2 linked regions of the Neodiprion lecontei genome follow. The protein of the gene in region 1 purifies or fractionates together with the protein of each later gene. This does not show direct contact. Links are inferred from orthologs where the notes say so. Each region holds a gene or a part of one and is shown in the gene's direction. Other genes may lie near its edges.

Region 1 (3,758 bases):
CCCTTCGTCTTGTTTTTCAATATCATTTTTAGCCGCATCAGGAATGCCTTCAGTATCACCACCATCACCGTGGTCGTCGTCGAAATATTCATCGTGATCTTCCTTACGTTTTTTCCATTTGCCCTTGTCTATATGATAAATAAATTGAGAACCGTATGAGTATGAGAAATTAAAAAATTCGAAGTGTATCTCTAAACGAACGGTGAAAAAGTGTTCAAGGGTTATGTACCATTATCTTTTTTGAATCGCTTTGGCGGGCCCATGATAGCCCCGCTTAAAAATTAGTCACAGGCAAAATGATTTGTACACTGATTCAACGCCGTCACACCTTGACACTGAAAAATCAGTCGATGTAAATCCCGGTAAATAAACTTATAACCACTACACAACTCTCACATTGCGGACTGGCAACGGTCAGCACTGTATCTGGTTTGACATAACCTCACAGCCCTCACAGGCAACCTGAAGTTTGGCTGAAGTATGACTTGAAGTGCGTTTCATGTTAAGTTAGGTCAGCTATCTCGATCAGAGCTGTCAGTTTTCTGAGCAAAACCGAGAAAAAAAACGATCTGCGCAGCATGTTGTAACCGTGGTTGTAACTTGAAAAAGCGAATTGCAATAGTCGTAATATGCATTATTATAAGGGACGAGCGATTGAATGATCACTAAACACGTTACAATTGACAACTAATGAAACTTGATCTTACTAAGAAAGTAAAATTAAAAGCCAGATAATTATAATTACATATTTATACTTCGGTTTAAAATTCTCTCCGATACGCGATCAATGAATGATGAGAACCAGGTGTTACAGCACGATTATCGAAAGTGTAAGTCAAAATTCGGTGTTATATTCGCCAAGAGAACAGGATTGTTGTTCAAGTCGGTTTTAAAGTATACCTCGAATATCAAAATATTTACTAATTGAAAGGAAAAAATCGCGCGTTATTTGTTGATCGTACATGGACTGCCGTAATCCTGTTGCGTCCGTGTGGACATGCATTAAAGTCGGCCTGTTTACACCACGGACTATCCACGTGGTCGAGTTTTTGCTGAAACGATCTAGATACACTGTTTATTCGGCTCTCCTGTAATCAATCAACGGTTTTGGTAACCAAAACTTGGCACCCAGGCAAGTTTAAGGCTTGCGCATCGAGTACGGCGCATAGATTGCGCTCATCGCTAAGAACGCACGAATTACGTTATTCGCGCGAATAATTTTACGCATGATTATTGGCAACCGGCAATGACAGAAGAAAATAAAATACCGTAGTTCACCTGTTTTAGAATTGAATGACATCCGCAGCTTGCTTCAGTGCGAATATCGTGACAGTAACAATCTTATAATCGTAGAACACAATCATACGGTGCCTGGGCGAAGCGCGCATGCCGGCGGCGCAAAAGTTCACAGCGCAGGTCTGATGTAGCAGAGAGCATATTGCTGCAGAGCCGCAAACAAGGAAGGATTCTCCGGTAGTCCATAAACCATTTTTCTGTCGTCAAACGGATCAAGCTTTTTGTGAGACTTGGATCGGTCACAAAAAGCGGGATTCGCTTTTCGCATAGGAATTGGCGAGCCGCAGAAGTCAGGATATCTGTACTTTGCTGGGTGGTTAATTGTGAGTATAAGCCTCATAACACCGTCGAACCTCTTCGCGATCCACGCATATCTACGAGTGGCAGCCTCGAGCTAGCTTCGCTCGATGTCACGATGCGTGTCTGTGGGCGTTAGATCTTTATTTCATTCCTTCTACAACTTCTACTACCCTCAAGATCTAACCTTTCTTCATCCATCCATCCTCCAATCGTCCCTCATCGTCGCACCGGTCTGTCCTTACTTACCAATTTAAGATTCAATCGATGAAAATTTTATAACAAACATGGCCGTCCGCCGGTGTCTTATTACCTGCTTACACCTCTGAATAACAAAGGTCTACGGACGTATTTTTGTCCCGCGTTTCATTCGGATCAAGGACCGGCAAGTGCCTGATGGGCTCAACGCGTCATCGTAGAACCCAGCGTACTTTCTGTCCTTCACCTCACTTACCGCGTGTTTGTTTCGGACGAACCAGTCTAGTTATGTGACGACGATCTCCTATTTTCGCAATACAACAAGCGTGCTCTTCGACGACTTGTCACTTCACAAAAATACAGCATGATATCTACGGCTATTCGCCGCAGGATTTTTCATCCACAATTTGTGTCAAATTTACAAAAGTATTTGTGGAACTCCTTTCGGGACGTGTAAATTTTTTACAACGAAAGTGTCGAAGGATTGATCTTAAGGTTGATAAGTATTCAGATACGGCAGGTTTTAGAGTTCGGTAAACCGCAATATTTGAACCGGTATGTGGAGTGATTATTTCTAAACTCTAATCTTATCGGTAAGTCGGATGCTAAAGGATATCATTGAAGCATGTGACTTACCCCTGAAATTACTTTCAGGATTAGCTGTATGGTTAGGCATTAAATAACCATGTCGATTCTGATATTTTAATATGACAAATCTGGGTCAGAATGCAAAAGTAGATGTAGAGTTGTTCATTTGAGAGTCTGTTTGTAGCTCATTTTCAAAAATAGAAAATCCACTTCCGTCAGTATCTAAAAAATATGCATCGAATAAGTGAACGGTAACAATTCAATCTCACAGAAATATTGATTACTCTCTAAAAATTTTTGTACAAGCTTCAAATTTTTAAGGTGATATTTAATTTTCCTCAGTCGAGCAATAAGCTGCTCACTTGATTTCACAGAAATAGATATGCACATATGTCTAAATATTAGCTCAGTTGTTGCGCAAAATATTTTCCTTCTCAACAAAACGATAATTATTATTTTTTGTTTTACAGAATAATAACATGGACGAGATGCGTCATTCTCAACAAGTCGTGCCCAATATCATGAGTGGAATTGGGGTTCAAACGATTCATCCTAACAGCGTACATCGTCATGGCAGGAATCGTGTGACGATGCACACTCTTATGTCCGAGGCATTACCGTTGGACGAGGCAGCACGTTTAGAAATGAAGGCAATGCCTGCTAAAACTCCTGTTTCCGTTTTGCAAGAGCTTCTGTCTCGCAGAGGCACTACCCCAAAATATGAACTTGTACAAATAGAGGGTGCCATACATGAACCTACCTTCCGTTATCGTGTCACTGTCTCTGATGTTGTTGGTAAGCATGTCCTATAAATTTTTTCACCTAAGAGTTTGTGTAAATGTTGAAGTAAATAGTTGGCCGTATTAAATGTTAAGTAATTAATTGAGAGTTCAATTCTTTTGTGTAAAACAAGGGTCTGACAAATGGTTTTCTTTTACCCAGTTCGTTTGTTGATGGAATCCAGTAAATAAGGATAATTGATGAAAATTAATTTTGTAAGCATGATAGCGTAGGTTCTACACTTTTATCAAAATATTTTTAACTGTCACTACAAATAATTGTCTAAGTTCTTCACTAATTGTTCGCATTCTTGTAATACAACAAGGCTGAAATATGATTTTCAATTACCTCATACTAGTGTCAACCAATATGAATGAGTGAGAGTGTTATTTTGATGTAATAAATGATTGAACATCAATTTCCTAAGCATGGTAGCTTATATTGAAATATCTGTTCACCCTTTCAATTTCAATGGAAATTATAAGTAGCACTGATTTTTTTCAATCATATAATATTCTATTCCAATCCAGTCCATTACTAAATCATTCAACATTGAAATTGATACTTATTTGATGTTTGTCATACTCCTAAATATTTTC
Region 2 (3,758 bases), on another chromosome or scaffold:
TCCAATTGAATTTTTTTCTCTAACGTTATTCCTGTGAAATAATAACAAATAGACAAATAAATTTACTCCGTTTTTGGAGTATTCAAATGGTGTGATCGGAACGAGTCTTTTACAGTCAATATGTGAATGGGCTATGGTTACCAAAGTTTTTTGGGTAGCTGATCAAGGATTTCACATTACTTTGAAAAATCAATTTGTTTAAATAATTTGCTTGACCAGTCAATGTGAATATGTAAGCTCCATGAAGTTCCCGATGTTTTCGGAATTTGAAATTATGTTGAGAATTCGACATTACGTTTCCAAAGGTAATTTGTTTAAATAAATTATGAAAAACAATTGAAATTTGAAAAAAAAACATAATCATTTCCATTAATTGTAATGGATAACAGAAAAATTACAATTGTTCCAAGTAATTGTAATTAGTAGCAGAAAAATTACAATTTTTTCAAGTAATTTTAATTGACAACAAAAAAATTACAATTATTTCGAGTAATTGTCGTTGATAATCATAAAATTACAATTGTTTATACTAACTGTAATTGGTAAATCAAAATTTATAATTATTTCCCGCAATTGTAATTAGTTACTAAATATTACAGTTATTCACAGTCATTGTAATTTACGGGTAATGAAATGACGAAAGTAATTTCTGCTGCCCAATTCTGATTACATCTAGGGGGAAATCTGGGGAGATTTTACTTCCTTCACGGTTCGTTTTTTGCTGTTGTAGCGTGGCGCTACTGGCTGTCACAGCATGCAAGGTCCCTAGATTAGGAAGGTCAAGACACGCGTGTTCCAGTTTTTCTGACTATAACATGGGCAAAAATGTTCTATGCGCGTTCGCCCAAAAAATATCAAACTTACATTACCGCATTAACTAGGTTTGACCGATCTTGCTCAATTTTTTAAGGTTAAGCATTACCGAGTTGCGCCTTTAGTATCCTGACGTGCACGAAATAAATTGAACCACGTATATATTTTGAGGTTAATCATTGTGACAGGTCAGGAATTAGAACCACACCGGGTGCTTTCCATTTAGAGCACAGTGTGACAAATTTCTATTGTAAGCGGCCAATCCGGGCAAAGAAATAGACCAGAAATGTTTACACTGTGTCATATTGTGCTCTAAATGGAAAGCATCGATTGTCATACGAAACTTTTGGCGCATTCTCACTAATTTTTTTGTCCACGCGTGTCGTGACCACTGGTCGTGACCTTCCTAATCTGGGGACCTTGACAGCCAGACCGTGCACAGCATCATTGCGCTGGCCGTGAAAATTCAGCCTAAGTGTAGGGCACTGCCATTACCTCCACGCTTTCAGCGCCCTGCGAGATACGTCAAACATAGTTAGCCGGCCTTAGAAATTTTTCGTCAAAGATTTGAAGCATCGAAGCACTGCGCGATTCAGGGATCCAGCAGAGATCCGGCGAATTGTCAGTGCATCAAAGAAGCAGTGTCTGGGAGTCCCCGTGTTTTATTCTCCGGTACCACTTCCCAAATCGTGAGGAAACGCTTTCCACCAATTGAATTGTACAACTGTTCTCAGTAATATACCGTGTACTTGAAAATTTCCTCTCATTGAAGTGATCAATATGTTTTTGTATTTCTGTATGGTTTTACTAGTTGTTTTGTAACACGAAAATCTAACCTAACCTGTAACGTCGATTCGACTACATTTGTTTTCAAATCTTCATAGCTTTTTGGTTGTTTGTCTCAACAGAAAAGAGGTAAACTGAGGTTTTAATAATAATTTAAAGTTTTGTATTAGCAAAATCATAATCAATAACTAAACTACCGGTTTATAACTGTAGTCGCTACTTCCGAAGATAAGTAACATGAAAAATAAAAAGTCTGATGTTTCCAGCAGATTTTGCTAATTAATCTTTTACCAATGCCACCCATTAATTTACGTCTTAGACTCGTAACAACATTGAATTATAATTAATCTAAAATCTAAAATATTTCTGTTTCCTTAGCATCATGGTACAGCCAATCGAAGAATTTTCAGCCAGGCCATATCAGATTGATCTGTATGAGAGAGCCGTCCAGTATAACAGTATCATATACTTGCCAACAGGGGCAGGAAAGACATACATTGCTGTCATGATCATAAAAAAATTGAGCGGCGATGTGATCAAGTAATCATTTATTCATTGTATTTTATAACTCCTCCTCCGCCATCCAGTTCTTATTCTAGACTAGTTAGTCCTGGTCAGAACTCATTTTTAATAATACAAGTTTCAACTCATTCTTAAATATAAGTCACATTATGACATGTACTTTCATAGTTTCAATTCTACTTGTCAATGGATTATTGTACATATATTAGTTTACAAGTCACCGGTCTAACTTTATAAACAACTGATCCTGCTTTTTGAACAAATCTATGATTATTCACAGAGTTTAGCATGAGCGTTTGGTGATGAAATCAATCCATTAATATTTTCTAATGTAATTCACTTATATCTTGTGTATTTTTTTTCTGTCACTTATTGATTTACTTATTAATTCATTTTCTAGGGCTGAAGCTTACTAATAATTCAACGATTGTTTGCTTTTTTCTTAGGCCTTACAGTGTCGGGGGTAAAAGAACAATTTTTGCAGTGAATACTGTTGCTCTGGCCGATCAGCAATTAAGATACTTACAAAGACATACTCATTTAAATTGTAGCAGTTACACAGGCGAAATGCAGGTTGATTATTGGAGCAGAGATAAATGGTTACAAGAATTGGAGGATAATCAGGTATTACTCAATATAAATATTATCTATATTTCCTGAAACTTTGTAATACCAGTAGTGTAGATAAAGTATTTCAATTGCCATCAATTGATGGCAAACTAAAACTTTTGTCATCATTTTCAATGAATACCGCAATAATTAGAAAATTCAATTTCTAACCAGCATTCAGGTATTTTCTTTCATTTTCGCGATTATTTGCAACACATGGACAACAACAAAGTTCAAATATATGTACAATGAAGCTCAAACTTTTTTTTTCTTTAAGAAATTATCTGTTTAAAGAACATTTAATCGTTATTTTGATGTCTGCAATAGTTTTGAGAGTTATCACAGTTAGTCATTCCAAGGTGGTTTTTATCTCAATTTCCTTAATGCAAAGGACCCTGCAATCGTTTAAATTCAAGATGATTTTGTGTACATACTAATATGTCGTTATCTCAAATTATTATATCAATATTGATGTTGAAATATACCTGCTACTAACCGATTTCCAGGTCCTAGTTATGACTTCCCAAATATTCCTTGATATATTGAATCATGGCTATATATCATTGAGCCAAGTAAATCTCATGATTTTTGATGAGTGTCACCGAGCTGTGAACGACCATCCGATGCGTTTGATAATGCAGCGTTTTAAGGATTGCCCAAAGGACCAGCAACCAAGAGTCTTGGGCCTAACAGCGACTCTTCTGAACGGCAATATCAAAGTTGCAAAGCTTGACGAGACGATAACAGTAAGTTAACAGAATTATTTATATAAACCTACTCTGTGGATTTCTATTTTTATTTTATGCTTCATGTTTTATAAATGTATTTTCAAAGGATTTAGAAACTACGTTTCATGGAAAAATTATCGCTGTTGAATCATTGATTGGCGTTAGAGGCTATGCTACAAACCCTATAGAATCCATGGTCAGATTCAGTCCACCGTTAAGGCTGACAGTACTAGAATCGACAATGGCACGATTGATACAAGCCAGGGAGATCCTGAAAGTAGTAGAAATAAAGATTGATCA

What was found. Proteins that work in one complex are often made in the same cells at the same time.
Region 2: the proteins of RISC-loading complex subunit tarbp2 (region 1) and endoribonuclease Dicer purify together in Drosophila melanogaster (affinity purification with western blotting; 9 studies listed by BioGRID, with this or other methods). This does not show direct contact. The link is inferred for Neodiprion lecontei from reciprocal best matches to the Drosophila melanogaster genes loqs and Dcr-2.

Annotation. Positions count from the first base shown.
Region 1 is NC_060261.1:39,599,263-39,603,020, reverse strand, and holds the start of RISC-loading complex subunit tarbp2, read left to right. Parts: upstream 1-1,389; 5' UTR 1,390-1,619; intron 1,620-2,849; 5' UTR 2,850-2,858; coding exon 2,859-3,174; intron 3,175-3,758. Other genes in the region: general transcription and DNA repair factor IIH helicase subunit XPB, read right to left, coding at 1-128, 230-263.
Region 2 is NC_060266.1:18,273,777-18,277,534, reverse strand, and holds the start of endoribonuclease Dicer, read left to right. Parts: upstream 1-877; 5' UTR 878-1,485; exon of another isoform or gene 1,486-1,502; intron 1,503-1,508; exon of another isoform or gene 1,509-1,728; intron 1,729-1,977; 5' UTR 1,978-1,981; coding exon 1,982-2,139; intron 2,140-2,567; coding exon 2,568-2,745; intron 2,746-3,236; coding exon 3,237-3,476; intron 3,477-3,564; coding exon 3,565-3,758.